Lonchura striata: one gene and its partner. The protein of the gene in region 2 purifies or fractionates together with the protein of the main gene of each other region. This does not show direct contact. Links are inferred from orthologs where the notes say so. Each region holds a gene or a part of one and is shown on either strand. Other genes may lie near its edges.

The links. Proteins that work in one complex are often made in the same cells at the same time.
Region 1: the proteins of ACTL6A (region 2) and DPF3 purify together in Homo sapiens (affinity purification with mass spectrometry; 4 studies listed by BioGRID and IntAct, counting the BioPlex papers as one, with this or other methods). This does not show direct contact. The link is inferred for Lonchura striata from reciprocal best matches to the Homo sapiens genes ACTL6A and DPF3.

The regions. Positions count from the first base shown.
Region 1 is NC_134608.1:35,480,227-35,490,175, reverse strand, and holds the start of DPF3 (zinc finger protein DPF3), read left to right. Parts: upstream 1-5,409; 5' UTR 5,410-5,471; coding exon 5,472-5,503; intron 5,504-9,949. UniProt on the Homo sapiens protein: Belongs to the neuron-specific chromatin remodeling complex (nBAF complex).
Region 2 is NC_134612.1:20,305,033-20,314,585, reverse strand, and holds the start of ACTL6A (actin-like protein 6A), read left to right. Parts: upstream 1-5,528; 5' UTR 5,529-5,567; coding exon 5,568-5,592; intron 5,593-6,353; coding exon 6,354-6,430; intron 6,431-6,625; coding exon 6,626-6,800; intron 6,801-7,156; coding exon 7,157-7,257; intron 7,258-8,466; coding exon 8,467-8,564; intron 8,565-9,228; coding exon 9,229-9,323; intron 9,324-9,553.

The DNA.
Region 1 (9,949 bases), on a different chromosome or scaffold from region 2:
GGATATTACATTCTGTTTTCTCATCATGGGCAAGAGGAAGTCTTGTTGCACCACCTTTGGGACCACATTTGAAGTTTTTGTTTAAAGGTGGTTGAAATCATAGGCAGACAGTATCCCTGAACTCCATTCAGAGTAGCAATGAGGAACTTTTCTAGGAGCAGACAGATCGTCTATTGATTGTTCCCTAGTCTATACCACCTGCTCCCTCCAAAGATTAAGTCACCTTTGAAAATCACGTTCACCTTTGTACTGGGAATAAGAGGATGGAGACAGCAATATTTCAGATGCATCAAGGTACCACCTCTGTAGATGGATGTAATGTAAAAAAAATTTTTCCTATCTTTAATGAAGGAAAGACTGAAAAGGACTCCCAAAGTGTTCACCTTTTCTTTTTTCTTTAATTTTTAATTTATTCTTTTTTTTCTTTATTATTTTATTTTCCTGTATTATTTTTTCCTTTTGTTTTTTATTTTTCCCAAACTAGTTTCTCAAGAAATAAGGCAGACAGACCTGTGTCTCTGTTGAAATTTCATAATAAACTTTGACAAGTTGTTCTTAGGTGCTTTCTATCATGTGCTTTTTGATGGGAATTCAGTTTTGTCCCATCTAAATTTTACCAATGACTCCCCTGAAGGACAGGGCAACCATAGTTGCTGAATGTGTGTTCTTCAGAGGATGTGTCTGTTTTATTAGGTTCCTTTTCCTACTGTTACTGTGGGTTTGCAGTGGCTACCAGAAAGACTTGTACTGTCCTTTTGAAGCAGCTTGTTCATAACATTATTTTCTATTGTTGGGGAAATTTAAAAACAATGCATGACAAAGACTCTTCTGGCAGCCACACTAAACAGATTTTGAATAGTTTATTAAACTAGGGACAGACTTGAGCCAGGCTCTGGGAACTTCTGTCTCCCCAAATTTTTGAAAGCTTCAGATTGAGGCCTCCATGTACATCTTACTACTAGAGACTCCTCTTTAGTGTTAAAATGTATTTTATCAGAATATCCCATTAAAAAATAGTGGGTTTGAGTCCAGACATCAGCATGCAAGTAATTAAAAACTGAACAGTGCATACAATAAAGAAAACTGGATAACAGAATCAGGCCTGAAATCAAGATACACTAAAGATGTCCAAGATTTGTTGCTATAAGTTTAGAGGGGAAATTTTGCTTAAGAAAAAAGCTAAAAATTTGAGGTCCCTTTCATGGATACAATTCCCAAAGTTGTGAAGAATGAATTGTTGGTGCCAGTTTTTACACAGTATAGCTCCATAGTTATCTTTGTTATGCTGACTATGTAATTTTTTTGGGAATGTGTCTGTAGAAGGCTGGTGTTGAGTCTGTAACACTGACACTCTGATATCTTTTCCTCCTTTTTCAGCTAAGCAACTATTGGTAAAGATCAAAGAAAGGGAGGAGGAGGGCTGACAAGAAACAGTGTATGAGAGATGCCTGCACAGCTTTAATAAATAAAAAGGGGTTAAGGCTTCAAATCTCTTGCAGGATATCTGTGCATGTGGGGCCCTGTTTTGCTGTAACAAGCTACATTATAGCACACTATCTTATTTAGACCTATATGATTCTGATACTTTGAATATTAATATATATTAACAAAAGAAAATTATAAATCACTAGAAATACCTGAGAATATTTAACAGTTGCTAATCTACCAGAAACCACTTTTTTTCAGCTCTGTTCTTTGTTTCCTTCCACAGCAAAATTAGATTTGTGGCTTTTAATGTTGGTGTCTAGTTTGTTTCACTTTCCAATTCACAAGAGTTGAGGAATATACGATAAGAACCTAACTTTCTTTCCCTCCAGAAAGCAGCAACTCTACGTTAAAACTTAACAAGATAAAACAGAAAGCAGAAGATAATAAGTACAAGGTAAAAATTCTTTCAAAGTTTGAAATATTGTCAGCTAAAATAAAGCTTTTCAGGGTTATGTAAATAGTAAAAATGTTTGAAACAGAGGCATCACACTTACCAATACACTGAGAAGATATGACACTGTGTTTCTTCTTCTTGAGTAGAGACAAGCTACAGTTCTGTATGAGGGGCTGGAGGTGAGGTGGTGGACTCCCTTCTAAAGCCCTGCTCACTCTGACCCTATAGATGCAGCATGCTCAGGCCTTGTGTTAATGCTACAGATGTTACCCCAATAGATTTGTGTCAAAACTTACCTTTTTCAAAATTTATGTGCTGGCTGTCCAAACATTTGGCAAGCTCTCGTTAAGAATATGCCCACCCAGGGCTTTTTATGCCATATACTTTTAAATTATTTATACTTTCTTGCAGCCTCCTTGCTATGTTTCAGGTGAGTGTGAATAAAACTAACAGTAACTAAGTACAAATGTAAAAATCCTGAAGTTGTGATTTAGTGTATACGTAACTGAGTGTGTCTCAACTTTGTTGGTCTTTCAGGATGTAAAACAACAGTAGCATTACTGATTAGTGACTTATGGTACATTAAAATCAGAAGAAAAATTAATCTAATAACCTACCAATGATGGACTGGTGTATATGTAAAAATGCAGGTAACTATGATGTGGCATGAAATTTTTATTAATACAGGTTTGTGATGTTCCCCCTGCTTGCAAACAGTGAACATGTAAACAAGTTCTGTAGTTCATTACAAGCAAAATGCCCATCAGTGCTCTGTGCTTTTTCTTTCAGCTAAAATGGTAACCTAACTGTTGTGGGATTCTGCATGAAAAACACTGTGGGCAAATTATATGGACGTGTGAGCAAAGCCTGATCTCTTCATTACTGCAGGTGAGACTTCCCACTGCTCTGATATGGCAGCTCTGTCCTTGGGTGTCCTGGAGATTCCTTTGAGTGAGGCAGTGCTGTTGACTGGCTCTCTTAGCCAGGAATGTGGGGTCTGCCTGGGAAAAGGGCTATCAACAATCCAAGGTCATCTGTGCCTGTTCTCACTGTTTGTTGCTTTTGCTGGTAGCTGATAAAAGCCCAACGTCTGAATAACAGGAGCAGCCAGGGAAGCCTGTATGGCTTCATCCCGTTTTTGCAATACACTCCCTGCCAAGCTGTACCAAGAGCTCATGGCCTGCAGAGCAGGAATGGGCCTATATATCCAACAATATAGGACCAGAGGGACTCATTAAACTTCTAAACATGACCTCAAACAGGGTTTCTTAATTATTTGAAAATGTCACGAGTTTGCATTAGAAAATCTCAGGGCTTTCTAGAGCTTGGTCAGATTTTCGTACCTTCTCTCAGTAACACAAATCTATCTCCTGTTCTGCAGTGTGATATGGTCCTAGGCTGTTTTTTTCTTATATGTGAAGCAAAATCATTATCCCACAAGTGAATATTGCCCATCCTACAGGAAGTACTCAAGTGTTTGCCATCAAGCAAATATCACAGCAACAAGAAAAGTCAAACCAGAAATCCTCGTATTAGTGAGATGGGGTGTAGGTTGCTAGTCTGTGGTCACCAGTTCAGGTGCATGCTATGCCATTTGCCATTTATTTCTTTGCAGCACACACATCAACTGTGTGCTTGTGACAAGTTGGCAGTTTGTGGTTAGCTTTTCCTGTGAGCAGTGAGAGGTACTATGCAGGGAGGGTCTGACGTTGCATTCAATGTCACCTGGACCACTATATATTAAATAATATAATGTAATATGATAATGGAAATGTTCTTAAAGATTACTTCCCAGAACTGTTTTGGGATAGATCTCAGCATCTTGGAAACTCTCCAGCTGACAGAAAGCTTATTTCTCCTAAGCAGTGCCTGTAACCAAATGGCTTAGATTGCTTTGATGGAAGAGATACTTCCCTCCAGGGATATACGCCTGGCACAGTACCTAAGTTGACCTAGTAGCGGGAATAAGTAAAGTTTCAGAAAGAGGGACACTAGACAGATCCTAAATTTTAACTTCTTGCAAACTTCTGATGAATCCTTAATGAACAGAAAACCGCTGCATTATACTTATGTACCTGTCTTCACTGTGAGTAACAGTCATACTCTTTCTGTTCTCCATTCCTCTTCCTTTTCTCTTTTGCCCTAGTATTGGAAAGTTTTATTTGTAAAGTAGTTGAGCAAGAGAGATTTTGGTTGTCTTTACTTTTTCAAGTTCAGTCCAGGAAGATTGCTATTTCTACTTCTGGTAATGTCTTACAAACATCACTATTTTCATTCTGTTATTCATTAAGTTGGGAATGAAAATGTTTTTCTAGTTTTTCTCACTTTTCCCTCTGCTTTGACAGTAGTGTCTTTTAATTGTCTTTAGTTGAGTTTCTTCTGAATGTATAGATGCAAAGAATGGCGATGTAGGCTTGATTTTGGTGGTGCTTCTTTGTGTTTTTTAGAAGGATGGAGGATGCCTGAAGGGAAACGAGGCTTTTGGGAGTGGAAGAAAAGTATGAGATGACAAAGTTGACATTGCTATCAGACAAGTAAAAAACTTGTTTGATTCTGCTCTTGTTGGCACCTAATTTACACTGGAGCAATTTCGTGAACTTCAGTGAGTTTACTTCTGAGAGTGAGATCAGTATCTGAGAGTGAGATCAGGATTGACACCTCTTAAATCACTTGGGTCGTGCTCCATAATTCATTCGCAAGTTCCTTTAATTAGTTGCAGGTAAACCCAGGCTTCCTGGAGTTCGCCGCCTCCCTAGGAATGGGCTCTGCGTGCTGCTCCCTGCCGCGCTCCGGGGTCCAGCCTCCGCCTTCTGTCTCACCGCCGGGCTGCATGTCCGGTGGGACGCGGGTCAGGGCTCTTCCCCTCGCGGCTCCCTGTGTCGGACGGAGACGGGGCCCGGCTCCCGGCGCGCCAGAAGTTGCTCTGTGGGAGAAAGTTGCGGGGCTGTGCAGGGCCGGCCGGGCGGTCCGGCCGCCGCGTGTTATGTAAGGGCGCAGGGGCTGCGGGCCGGGATGACTGACAGGGAGAGGGAAATTCCTGGGGGAGGGGGAGCGGGAGCGGCGCTGCCCTGAAGCCGCTGCCAGAACCGGCGGCTCACGGAGACCTGCGGGGAGCGCGGCCGCGCAGAAAGGGAAGCGGCGCGGGAGGGACGCTGCCGGGCAGCGTGCGGAGCGAGCGGGCAGCGCGGGCTCGTTCCCCCAGCGGGGCAAGCCGCCTGGGAAACCGGGGGCTAGCGGCGGCGGTGCGAGGGGACGAGGAACGAGCCCGGCTTCCCCTCTCCCGGCGCGGCGCGTTCGAGCCGGGGCCGGAGCGCGGCGGGGAAGTGCCTCGCTGGAGCCCGGGGTGCCCCCGGCGCAGCGGCGGCCTCGGCGGCGGCGCTGCCCCTTTAAGACCTGCTCGCCGCCAGTTCCAGGGAGAGGGAGTGACCTCTGGGCTTTGACAGCTCCCCTAATAACTAGCAGCGCCCGGCCCCGCCCCCGCCGCGCCATTGGCTGGCGGGCCGGTATGCCGCGCTGCCATTGGCTGGCCGCTTCCCCTGAGCGAACCTTTAGAACTCCGAGACACAATATTCTGTTACATTGTAGCAAAATGGCGACTGTCATTCACAACCCCCTGAAAGCGTAAGTAGGAATCAAAAATGTACATATTCCGCGTGGTTTAAATATGAAAAAAGGCGCCTTTCCGGCGCCGGCTGCCAGCCGGAGCCGGGTGCCGGCAGCCTCTCGGCGGGTCCCTCCTACCGCCCTCCTTTCTGCCTCAGCGGCTCGCTCGTTTTTTTGTGCAACACATCCCCGCGGCTCGCGCCGAAATTAACGAGGAAAAAATTGTTGGGTTAATTGGCGACCGGGCGCGGGGCGGGGGGCGTCGGGCCGGGGGGCGGCGGCGGGGAGCCCGCCCGGCGCTCCCGGAGCTCAGCGCGGGGTCGGCGGCGGCCGCGTCCCGCGGGGGTGCGCGCACTTGACAGCGTCCTGCCCCCGCTGCCCCGGCGGGCTGGCCCCGCCACCGCGCTCGGCGGGGCACCGACCGGCCCGCGGGGGCGCTCGGTGCGCGGTGCCTCCGCGCTCCCACCGCGGCTCGGAGTTGCCTCGGGAAATCTTTGGGGAGTTGGGATGTCTTGACGAAGCGACCCCCCTCGCTTCTCGGCTGGGCGGTCGGAAAGCGGGGCGGCGGGGGCTTTGCCGGTGCGCCTCGGCGCCCGTGCAGGAGAGGGAGCGGAGAGGCGAGGCAGGGAAGCAGACTTGGGTGAAATGAATGACTCGGGACTGCCGGTCGCTGATTTTGGGCAGGAAGTCCGGAGATCTGTTTTGCATATGACAGGCTTTCGCTTTTCAAAGTGGCAAAGAGAGTTGATTGTGTTTCCATCTTGAGAGCGGGCACAAGCCGCCGAGGGCTGTACGGACGGGGTCTGACCCCAGCTTGAGAGAGGGAGGGGGCAGGTACTTCTGCTGCGGAGGTATTCCGGGGCTCCCGGTCTGGAACTAGGGCTGATTTCTGAGGGGCACCGCGGGAGCCGGTTGTCGTCTTCTGGATCGCGTCCTTTATTTTCCTTGTGGTCTGCAGCGCACGCCGCTAATCCCCGAAGGCATTAGGGAGAGTGGGATTTGGCACCGTATGTGGGGAGCGGAGCTATCTTAACCTTTTTCAAACGACTTCCCTGCTAACGGGGGCAGCGCTCTTCCTAGTGAAGCAGGGAAGCAGAGTACCTGGCGGTGACGCTTCGCTTGCACTTTCTGGCTGCGCTGAGTGGGTGTTTTTATACCTTTGAGTTTTGTGAGATGAAATTAGGGCTGCGAGGTTTTTTCTTTTTCTTTTTTTTTTTTTTTTCTTTTTTTTTTTCTTTTTTTCTTTCCCGGCTCGAGTCTCTCCGCCTGGAGTTGGAAAAACACTTGAAGGTTTTTCCAGGGATTTCTGCCGCTGTGTCTCTGCGATCCAGAGGGAAAGGAAAGCCTCGAGCTGGGAAGGGGTGCTGACATGTTTATCAGCTTTCCTGCTCCGTCCTGGCAGAAAAACCTTTGCTTTCATTTACTCGCCCTCTCGGATATAAAAATCCGCGGGGAGAGGGGAGCGCAGTTGCAGGGGGTTAATCGAAGCAGTCCGAGTGTCCTCATGGGTGGGTGCCGAGGGACTGAACGCGCTCTGAAAACCGCGCGGCAGAGGCAGCGTTTCTCCCCCCGCGTTCGACGGCAGGTTTACGCTTGTGCAGGCGACAGCGATTTCTCCCCGCGCCCCTCCCGGCCGCCGGCCGCGGGCAGAGCACCCCGGGGCCGCACCGCCCGGCTTTGCACCTGGGCACGGAGCACCGCGGATGCGTGCGCCGTTCGCGGCTGCTGCCGGTAGCGGGGAAGCCCGGGCTCGGTGGCCCCTGGGGACGGCGAGAGGGAGGCGGGGAGCTCCCGGGAGCGGCCACGGGAGCACGGCTGGCGGCCCCGGCCCCCGCCCCGCCGGCGGACGGGACCTTGCCGCCTCGCACCGCACTTCGTGGCACCGTGGGGCTCCCGGCAGCCGCGGCGCTCCCTGCCGAAGGGCCGCTTGTGCCGAAATGAATCGGGGCCCGATCCCGCTGCTGCTGAAGTCTGGGAGGACAGGATGAGGCCATTTATAATTAGCTCCCTTCTCCTCCCCTCGCCCCTGGGGGGTGTGAGAGGAGGAAACAATAGACATCAAGTGCTGGTTTCGCTTTTCTCTGTGTGCCTTTTAAAGTACTAAGGCTATGTGGAGGAAGTAGAATTGGTACTGGCTGTCTGACACCATCTGTAATTTTGTTGACAACTTGTTTAATAAAACATTTTATAATTTTCACTTATTCTTTAAAGTTGCTGATCGGGAAACAATACACATGTAAATAAATTATGCATGGGATAAATTAGGACAAAAGCAGTAGGACACATAATAGGGGAGGGATGCAGTCCACATTGTTTTATCCTCATGTGTCCTTCCTGACAATGAACGGGAGCTGAATGACATTTGCATTTCCTCTGTCTGCGTTTTGATTGTATCTCAGAACCCACAAACGCCCCCTACAGAAACCGGCCACACAAAGGTTTTGCTCCGAAATGGGGGACAATGTAGGGACTGAGAAATCCTGGCTCAGGTATCAAGCAGCTCCTTGTGTATGCTTGTGCATTTAGGAGTGTCTAATATTCAGTTTGTCTCTGGCACTTGGACACACATGTGGCCTTGTTCATGCTACACTACTCTCTCTGAATAATGTATTCCAGTACCTGAGCATCTATGGGAATGCATTTCATAGAACAGCTCAGTGTGTGGAGTCCCTTATTAATGATTGGTTTCTCCCTACTCAACTTGCCTTTTCTCTGTCACTTTCTGGTTCTCTTTTGGTGCTTTCTTCCCTCTGCTCTTCTCCCCTTCACTTCCTCTGGTGCACCAGTTTACCTGACATGACTGTCTGTTATTTCTGCCATTTATTAGCTTGTTGTTTACGGTGCTACAGACAAAAATATCTGAGATCTAAGTTTAACAGATCTGCAAGGTAAAGGTAGCAGGTGTTTGGACAAGCACATGCTTCTTCATCTGTAGAAATGGCAGTATTCTGACAGCTTTGATGGGACAACAGTGGATTCAAAGTGCTGAAGTTGTTGATGCTTTTTTCCCCCCACTAGTTTGTGTGTGTATCTCCATATTTTTTGTTTCCATCTTCTTCTTTGGATATTTTAATATGAAGACATTTGAGTGGTACAGTAGAAGAAACAAATGCATTTAGAAAGTATTCTGAATTACTTCAAATGTCAGTCAGAAATCTCAGTGGACTTTGTAAACATTAATTAATTAAACCTCTCAACGCCCCTGTGAAGAAAGGATTATTGCCTTTGTTTTATGGATGGCTAAACTAGGACAAAGTGGTTCAGAATCTCTCTAAAAGATGAAGTCTAGAATGCAGGCATTCAACTTCCAGTTTTAGCATTTAGTCCCATTTCCTCCATCTCTGCCTTATTAGTGATGTGCATATGGTACCATAATGCACTTAATGTAATTAAGACCTTGTAATTTACACAGCCTTGTCTAGAAGCAGAGCTGGTTTCCTCCCACCCCTTCTCTGTCTTTACTCCCACGAATGACTTTTATTTCAGGTTGTCAATTGAACACACTAAGTGGAACATAGGTTGTTACCATTTCAGCGTGTGAGGTCCCCCGTGCCGTGTAGCGCTCTGCTGGACACTCACCAGACAGCTGTTGCCTCCCAGGAGTTTAGAAGTGCCAGTGCTCTCCCTTCTGCTCAGGGCAGCGATCTCGCTTCCATGCTGACTGCGTTGTTGGATAACTTTGATATACACTTATTCTCTGCAAGGTGTTTGGGGAGCAGATCATCACAGGTTTGTGTGCACAATGCTAGATCTACAGCACAGAGCTGATCTACCAGGCCTGTTCTGTATCCGCATTCCCACTGCAAACACACAGCAGCAGTTGGGTTTTCAATTGCTGTACCTTCTCAGATAAAATTGCCTTGACAGCCAACTCCGACCTTTGGGCTGCCAAATGACCTTCCTTGTGATGATGAATTCTGTGTCATAAGACACCTGTGAAGAAGTGGTCTGTGTTTGCATCCCTGTTTCACATTGGCAAGAGACCAGTGTGGGTCTTGGGGTCTTGTATGGCAAGAGTACTTCACTAGTGATTATTCTGGCTTAAACTCAGGCTGGGGACTCTTAACTGGAAGGTCCTGTATCCCATTACACATCCTTGAAACAGCCCTATGTCCTGATTAAGTGCTGATGAAGACTGATTTTTTTTTTTTTGTGGACATTGTTGTATAAGCATCTGGTTGCTGATTTTTAATATTAAAGTGAATGTATAACATGCAGTGCTGCTTTCAGCAGGTGGAAGCAATAAAATAGACAGGTTGCTAGTTCAGTGTTTACAAGTGATGTGGAGGTGATTTTAATGTGGCCTTGCAAAAGGGAATTTTCTTCTGCTTGACAGAACAGGGTTTGTTGGGCACATTAAACCATGTACCAAAATCTCTACAGCAATTCCAGTGTGGTTCTGATGTTACTTAAAACCACAAATGAGCCCTAATGTGACACACTTAAAATCAAAACTGTTGTCCA
Region 2 (9,553 bases):
GCAATTGCATTGCTCTACATGCTCATTTTGAATGACAGAGTACCTACTTGTCACTGTAATGACCTGAATGAATTCAAGAAAGAAACGACAATCACTTTGCAAACATGCCCATCCAGCAGCAAATACACTGTTGTTTTTCCTCACTACTGTTTAATAATTTAGTTTACAACTATATATATATATATATTTGGTGATACAGTAATGCTTGTGGAAATGCTTACATAAATCTAAACCCCCAATACTTTGGTTTTTGAAGCCCACAGAAGTAACGCTGCTCTCACTTGTATTCCAAACCCTGCAGCACTATGTGCATTGCCAGTGTCTCTGCCCCTGCTTTGCCTGTGCCCTCTCCTGGTGGCAGAGCACACAGGACAAATGTGCTTACACCAACACCTCCCCTGCACAGCAAACATTTCCTGATGCCAAGTGCAAACAGCTCTCTAAAGTAAACCAGACCAAGATTCCAAGCCTGATGGTGACACAAAACGTGTCACTAGGTCTGTAGGATGAGTTGTGAGCACACCCTTACAGCTCTGATCCCCACACTGCCGCATTTCACCCACAGAGCCTCTGGAACAGGACCTGAGGTTCTCCTCTCTCAGAGGAGGAGGAGGATCCCATTGGGATTCCCCCTTTTGCACAGAACCATGGCTCTGAGCTGCACGGCACCACGGCTTGAAAATGCTACTGAGGCAACCCAGCACCTCCTGGAAAGCCAGGAACAGGGATTTGAACCTTGCCACGCTGCATCTGGCCTGGAAGAACATCAGTGCTCCATGCTACCTGCTCGGCTCTTATAAGCACATTCCCACTGTCACCAGGGGATCAATGCCCTCATTAATGGCAGGGCTCAGGTGACACAAAGATCTTCTGTTTGTCAGGCTAAGCCGGTTCCCAGCTCTAAGGAGCTTTGTTTCTGCAGATGAGAGGTACTGAGCCAGGTCAGGATTGGCCCAGCTGCCAAGTAAATAAGCCCTGCAAGAATCCAAAGTGACTGCAGACCAAGCACTAAGCCTGAAACAGTGAGTTCTGCCAAACCTGAGCCAAGTGAGACATACGTGCACAAGAGACTCATTTGAGAAGGGCCATACAGACACACTTCAGTTCTGGCCAGGGCCAGCTCATCCCAGAAAACCAATTACCTCAGAACCAGTTCCAGGCAAGTATTGCTGTCCATTGCTGATCAAATCTGGCTCTGTGATTCCTTACTCTGCCTGATCTGAACAATGAAAGGGTCTGGAGGCCTCTAATTGTGTTTCCCAGGAACCACTTACAGAACAGAACTATAAAATAGTTCTGTTATTACATGGTTTCCCCCCTATTCTCCAGCATATCCTAGTCACTATCACTCCAGACAGTCAGATGGAAGCTCAGCATGATCTCTGAAATTGAGTCAAGCCATCCATTGGTGAGGGAAAGTTGACTGTGCATTAATGGCAAGCACCATCACCCTTTCTTTCAATCATGTTCTAGAATGAGAGTGAGTCATGGCTCTTTTGCAGAACTAGTTAAACACACCAGCTCCAAAAGAAGATTCTGGAACATATAGCCTCAGGACTGCCTTACTGGAGTCACAGAGAGATTTCAGACACATCTCCGTTCCTCAGAATTTTCCATTGTTAAGAATCAAACAGCCTCTACGGTTCTTATCCAGGTTTAAGGTGTGTCTGTCTTTAGAATATTTTATATGAAACAGAATTAAATGCTTGGACTTCAGTCTGAGATAAGAACCTAAAAGTCATTGTGCCAGTGTTGAGGCTCCTTAGTGAGGCTCAGCATTTAATTTCTGTTCTTGCTCATTTTCTGCAGAAGGAGAATGATACTCAGCATCCCTGTGAGGAACGGAAGTATTTAAATTGACAAAGTACCCAAGTAGTTTAGCAAATAAAGTGGAAAATTGAGAGGTCATACAAAGTTATTGAGTGAATAAATATTAATGAGTATTTTGCTTTTTCATCTACAGATGTTTTCCTAGTTCACATAAACATTTAAGACCTCATCTGAAAGCAGGAAAAATAAAACCTTTAACATGCATTTTGCAATCCAGAAACAAGGAGGAACCCAGACATGCTGAATAAGCCATTGTCCCAGCCAGTCTGCTGGCACTGCAGCCTGGGAGAGTGGCTGGCAGTTGGATGGCACAGCTCAAAAGCAACAGGCCACCAGCCACCCCAACGGGGAAGTGCTGCTTGTTGAGAAACAAAAAATCATTCTGTTCAGTTTTGGCTTGACATGTACATTACTTTCCACATTGCTTTATGTTATCAAAAAGGTGAATGAACTTGCTTGAAACAATGAAGTCTTAAAAATCTTAAAGCAATAATTAGGAAACTTCTGTTTCTCCAGATTATCACTGATGGAATTATTTTTTGCCTATGAGTTAGCATCATAATTTGATGTCTTGGTTCATGCCTCACTTTTAAATGATTCTTCTCTTTATTCCCATGGACAATTTATGCCAGTGTTTGGTTCTATAATTATTACATAAATGTCACATACAGTAAATCAATATGTAATATTCCCATGAGAAGCACATGGTTTGTGTCACACTGGCATCCACAACTCCTGCCAAGATATTATGGCTATTTGTACCAATATAGGAACCTAGATAAAATACAGTTATTGTTCCTATCTACCCTGATTTTATAATCCTTGCTTCTGATGAAACAAAGCAAAAATTATCAAAAGATCCACAAATATTTGGGTTCATTGAGGAAAGGGGTAGCAAAACTACAGATTTCACCTGCTTTTATGCAAACATAGGATGATGTGCATGAGTTCACGGAAATAATCTGAAATTTGCTAGTCTGTAAATCAGGCTCGACCCTGCTGAAAACAGATGCCTCAAATCTATTTCTCTTGTGCACGGAACAGTGTAGAGTTATCCACCTGCTGCAAAGCAAAGTCACTGTAGAACCCTGTCAAACCACAGCAACATGATGCTCTGCACACTTTCCACTGATGGAAACACCCGGAACAGTACAAGGAAGACAAAAGTAGGATCCAGAGAGTTGTCAGTCTACATTTCCTTCCCCTTATACTCCAGACTTCTTGTGAATTGCATGGATTTGACTTTGTTCCTTATAGCTATCAAATCCTTAGACTTCTGGATACAACATGATTTCTAGGGCATGTTCTTGTGTTGAATAGTGAAGAAAAATAAAGCAGCAGAATGCTGTGTTGGTCCCTGTCTTGCAGGTCAGTCACAAGCAGCGGTTGTGCAGAGAGCAGGGTCTGGCTTAAAGTGTCTTTTATCACTTGAGTTCAAAGGATCATCACTGCAAAATAAAGTACAAGAAGGAGCTAAATGAAGAACCTCTGGCATGGTAATTCCAAATTTTCTGAACTGCTTTTCCCATCTGCAATTAATTCCTCCTCCTCAAAGAACCATGCCTTGAGTATTAGTGCCACATACTGGAAATCATGATAACATACTCGAAAATATTTCATAACACAAAATGAAGGTGCACTGGCTTTATGAAACAGCAGGATTTATCTTTATAATGCTAGAATCTATATGTTGTAGTGATATTGTACTATAAATTATAAAATAATTTCTTAATTGCATGATAAAATTATGACTTTGCTCTTTAAAGAAATAGACTCAAATTGTGTGTCAAATTAAGTTCCTTGCCCTTGAAAGTTAGTAAATAAAATAATCTCCTTGTACTGTTTAAAAAGCCCAACTCAAGTGGTTGTCCCTTGAAACTGTTGGATTTTACTACTTTTCCTATGTTTTGACACCCTCTCCCTTAAACAGGGATTGCTGTCTACCAGCCCAATGTTAACTGCAGCAATTTAGGAGCTGCAGTACAAACACACACATCTAGGCTGCTTTTACTCTTCACCAGCATAAAGTTTGCTGACATTTGTAGTAATTCATTCAATTCTCAACAGCTTTACTATTAAGCTGGCTAAATCGAATCACTTGAAGATTCTTGCTACGGCATTACAAAAATAAGCTACCTATCTTAGGTAAACTTTAAAAGAACACACAGCTTCCCATTCCATCCAAAAAAACCCACCTCACATAAAAATTCAAAAAGGTGTACACCAGGAACACTTGCCCTTTAAGCCAATTCCCTTGTTCTCCAGTTAAAATATTAGTCTTCTCTAATGCTAACTGTTGAGGTTTTTCTTTTGTTTTCTTTAATTCCAACAGCTTTATAGTTACCCATCTCTGGCTGTCCTGGCTGAACACCAGGTTTGGCTGAACGCTCTGACACCAAACAAGGCGATGTGAAATCCTAACTAGAAATCCAGCTGTAAAACTGGCAGCTGAACTGCCCAGCTCTGCAGACAAACCAGCCTCGGGGACCAAGGGCTCTGCCCCAAGCAAGAAGGGAACCACACGAGGCAGGCCCATTAAGATAGACTTCAAAAGCTTTATTCTCAGTGGAAGAGCCCAACAGAGCAGTGATAGCAGCAGGGGAATCACAGAATGTTACGTTGCAAAAGATCTCTGAGATCATCAAGACTACCTGTGCCTGGCACAGTTTGAGATTATAGCCTGTTGTCCTGTTGCTGGCTGCCCAGAAGAGGCTGATCCCACCTGGTTACAGCCTCCTGCCAGGTGGAGCTGGGGAGGGCCCAGGAGCAGCGGCTCCTTTCCAGTCCCGATGCTCTGGAGTCATCCCGCTCCTCATGTGGCAGCGAGCTCACCCTGCGAGCCCTCAGGATTCACAAGCCTCCTCTCCCGAGTCCAGCCAAGCCGGCAGCCTTCCCCATGTCCAGCTCTGGGCTCCTCAGTACAAGAGGAGGAGCTGCTCCAGCCGAGGACGATGAAGGGACTGCAGTGTTTCGTGAGAAGCTGAGCAAGCAGAGCCTCTCCAGCCTCGGAAGGTGACCTCAAAGTCACCAGGGAGGTGTCAGAGGATGGATCAGGCCCTTCTCAGGTGGTGCTGAGCAGCAGAACAAGAGACAAGGGGCAGAAACTGGTGTAGAGGAAGTTCCACCAGAACGTGAGAAAACTTTGCTGTGCAATGACCGCTCACTAGAAATGACTGCCCATAGGAGATGAGGAGTCGCCCTTACTGGAGATACCCCAGAACTCTCTGGGCGCAATCCTGTGCCACGTGCTCGGGGACGACCCTGCCGGCGCCGGCAAGTGCGACCAGAGGATCCAGCGCGGTCCCCTCCTGCCCGAAGCGTCCCGTGACTGCCCGCACGGTCCCCAGCGCACCTGCCCCGCTCCGCTCGCCCCGCCCGCCCCTGCCCTCTGCCCATCCCCGCCCGCCGCTCCCCTCACACCGCCCCCCGCCCGCACTCCCTCGCCTGCCCGCCCTTCGCGTCCGGCTCCAGGATTGGTTGTCCGCGGCAAGGTCCCGCCCCCCGCCGCCCGGGATTGGCCGGTTCTGCCCGCGCGGCGCTGCTATTGGCGGGCGGGCGACGGCGCTGCGGGTCGGGCCGGGCCGCGGGCGGGGAGCGTGGCCGGGGCGCTTTTGTTGCTGGGTCGGCGGCGAGAGGAGCGGGCGGGGAGCGCGGGCCCCGCGGACACCGGGGCAGGCGGGGAGCGGGGCCGGGCGGCGCGGGCACGGCGGACGGCGGGGCCGGGCCCAGCGGCAGCCATGAGCGGCGGCGTGTACGGGGGAGGTGAGTCCGGCGCCGCCCTCCCCTCCCCCGCCCCGCGAGGCGGCGCGTGCGGCCGCGGCGGGCGCTTCCCGCCTCCCTCAGCCCGGCCCGGCGCTGCCGCGGCCGCTCCGCGCCCCACGCGTGACGGGCAGGCGGCGGCGGCGGCGGGCCTTGTTGGTTCCTCGGCGCCCCCGGGCTGCCTCCCCGGCGCGGCCTTGGGCAGGACCCGCTCTGCCGAGGGCCGGGGAAGGTCCCCGCTCTCTGGGAGCCGGGTGTGGTTCCCCGAGCCCCTCTGCGCACCCCCCGTGGCCACCGCTCGTTTCCGACAGCTTTCCTGTAGGATGTGCGTAGATCAGCGGCGATCGGGCCCGTAGGAATGGGCGCTTATGCCCTGAGCCCTTCCCTCACACAGTTGATGTTTGCACCACCTTCCTCATCCTCATCACCCACAGGGGCTCTGGGCTCACCTGGCTTCGTGTGACTGCTAAATTAGAACTTTCTGAAAGCTTTATCTTGCCATCCGTTAAGCTGCTACTACGTTCTCTCTCTTGTACTAAAATTTTCTTCTAACACCAAACAGGGATTGCAATGCACCAGTTAAAGCCTGTCTGCAGTTTTCCAATAGCTCTCTGGTCGCGGGAGCTCTGAATAGAAAAGTTTGTCCTTGCTTTGTAAAAGATCTCTTGATTTGCTTGTCTTGTTTGCCAGTAAAGCAGGTGGTGGGCAGGGAAAGGTCAGGGTTGCAGAAGAGCATAACCATTCTTTCTTAACAATCTTTTCAGATGAAGTCGGGGCACTGGTTTTTGACATTGGCTCGTACACAGTGAGAGCAGGCTATGCAGGCGAGGACTGCCCGAAGGTGAGAGAATCTGTGCCTCGATGGAAATTGAACATGAATTTATGCCTTAGGTCTTCTTTGTGAGTTACAGCCCTTCTGAACACACTGGGGCTTGTTCTGACTGTATTGTATAAAGAAACTTCGGAATTTGTGAGAAAAACAACAATTTCCAAAACATTACTAGTCCTTATGTACTGCTTGCCTCTTGCCTTGCAGGTGGATTTTCCAACAGCCATTGGTGTGGTGCTAGAAAGGGACAATGGCAGCACTCTGATGGAGATAGATGGTGACAAAGGCAAACAAGGGGGCCCAACTTACTACATAGACACTAATGCCTTGAGAGTTCCAAGGGAGAATATGGAAGCCATTTCACCTTTAAAAAATGGAATGAGTATGGTGCTCTTGTCTTTTTCTACCTGATTTTAAAATAGCATTGCTAGGAAGTTATAGTTGTGTTGGCAGCTGTTATGTACAGCAACAGAGGCCATAGGAACAGATTCCTGGTTTACAAATTGCAGGGAGATGTGGTTGGTTTTCAGTGTTAGTGGGCTTTCAGCATAATTGTTGAAGTTGTGGTGGTTGTGGAGGAAGAGAATTCTGCAGATCTGTTAAAGGAGATGTGTATCTGCTGAGGACAGCTTTTGACTGAAGAACTCTATGCAAAAAACTAAATTGGAAAGCCTTTGTGTTTATGAAATGAAACAAAACTTAGGAGTAACTAACCTGTTTGTCTCAATGTTGTTATAGTTGAAGACTGGGATAGTTTCCAGGCAATTTTGGATCACACTTACAAGATGCATATTAAATCTGAAGCAAGTTTGCATCCTGTCCTTATGTCTGAAGCACCAGTGAGTAAAACCAATTGTGCATTATGATAAGTCTTTTTGCTAACTCTGCAAACATTAGTCCTGGATAAGTCTGACAATGGCTTGTAGGTGACAAGTGCTAAAATGTAGCTACAGAAATGACAGTTTTAAAATACTTGGACAGCTTCTGGAAAATGTCTAAAAAACCCTCATTTTGAAATAGTTTGTATGAGTTGTATTAGAAAGTATTTACAATATGCTATTGTTTTTCACTTACTGAAAAGAAGCCAAAAATTAAAAAAAGAAATTTTACTGCCTAGAATAAAGAGAAAAAAGATGTTTGGATATCTTTTATATTAAGTTACACTTAATAAAGTGCCATCAAAAATCTTGCTTCATTCAGCTTTACAAGTAGTATTAAATGACACAGAACAATATTTATAATAGAGAAGTTTTAATTTTTCTGTCTTTGTTTCTGTAAGTGGTCCTGTAAGGCAGCTGAAGTGGATGAAAACAAAGTTTAAAATGCTCAGCATTTGAAGGCAGATCTTGAAAGTCAGAGTAGAAGAGGTAGACATGCCATAGACAAGTGATGCCTTTCTGTAATAAGACCTTATGAATATTATTTTCTTGAATTTCATAGTTTCCTTGTGTTGAACCACAGCTTTTGGAGTGTGGATGAATTTGCAGTGGCTGTTTGATGGCTCAGTGGATGTCTGAATAGAAACATTCCCATTGAAATTCTGCTTACAAACCTCATCTTACTTTCTTGTATTGGCTTGGAAAAAAATCCACATTTTCCTTAAAGTGTTGAATATTTGAGATATATCCTGGCTTAATAACAACTACAGTAGAATCGTAGGAAGCTGCTTTGGGAACTGGAAAGTCTGGATTTATTTTTCTTCCCACTGGGCAAGTTCCTTCATGTATCTTTCCCCTTGTGGAAGGCAGGGTGCTTGCTTTAGAGAGTTCTTTGGGAACCTGACACTGGAAGAGCTGCAGAAGTGTAAAGAAATCAATTGTAACACCAGAGGTGTGCAGCACTTTTGTGTGACAGATAAGATTGATGTATTGCAGTATAAATGGAATGAAAAACGTTACTAGAAATCCATTTATGTAGAATTGTGGTATAACTTGAAACTGTGGCTGCAGGTTTTCTGCTAACTTCTTTATTGTGTTAGCAATCTATTAGTGTGCAAACGAGAGCTTCCTTTTGGTCACTTACTTGTGGTTTGGGTTTATCATTTTTAGTGGAATACCAGGGCAAAGCGTGAGAAACTGACGGAGTTGATGTTTGAGCACTACAACATCCCAGCGTTTTTCTTGTGTAAAACTGCTGTTCTGACAGCGTATCCTTTGAAATGCTTCACTGCATGCTTTTATTTTCCTCCCCCCAGGAAATTATGGTAAACTTTTTCCAGGCAATTCCAAGCTATGCCTAAGTTCCTTCAAATTTTTTTTTCAATAAATCCAGGGAGGAAGTAAACAATTGCATTTTCTAAACTTTAAGGGATTAGAGCTCATTTTTGAATTTCTCCCAATCTGACTCTGTCCTTGAGGGTCAAAGTATTTTTTTAAATTATGTTTTTTTTCCCATTGTATACTATGGATAAAAATATTACAGGTATGAAATGGCACACTACTGAATACAGTAATTAGAGCTTGATGTTTTCATAGCCTTAAGAAGAATATCTGTAATTATTTTAAACTAATAATATGTTCCCAGCTTCGAGTCTAAATGAGTTGGATGTACTTAGAGCTTGCTGCATGGCATTGGCATGAAGTCTCACCCTTGTGCCTCCAAAGCTTGAGTTAGTTCACAGATGGAAGGAAGTTAAATGCTGCTCTCTATGAGATGGGGCATTTCACAGAAAGATGGTATACACTGGAAATTCCTTTGTAGAGGAGAGGAATAACATGTTGGAGTCCTCGTTCCTAGTTAAGATTTAATTGTATGGCAGCATTTTTTTCTAAAGTGAAAATTATGGTATTTTCCTTAATCACTTTGACTAGTTTTGCTAATGGAAGATCTACAGGTCTCATCTTGGATAGTGGAGCAACACACACCACTGCTATTCCAGTGCATGATGGATATGTACTTCAGCAAGGTATAAACTTTCATGGATAACAGCACTGCTGTATCAAGGCCAAGTTAGAGTGACTTCTGCTTGTACAGTTTTGTTACTGCTTTTCCATTTGTGTATCCCCTTAAAAAGGAAAAAACACTAATAGTGTTCACTGAGAAATAATTGGGAGAGTATCCAAATGATCCATGATTTGGATACTTTCCAGGTTAGTTGTTTTGGTTTTTATTTTGGATCCCCTCTTTGCCTTCTAG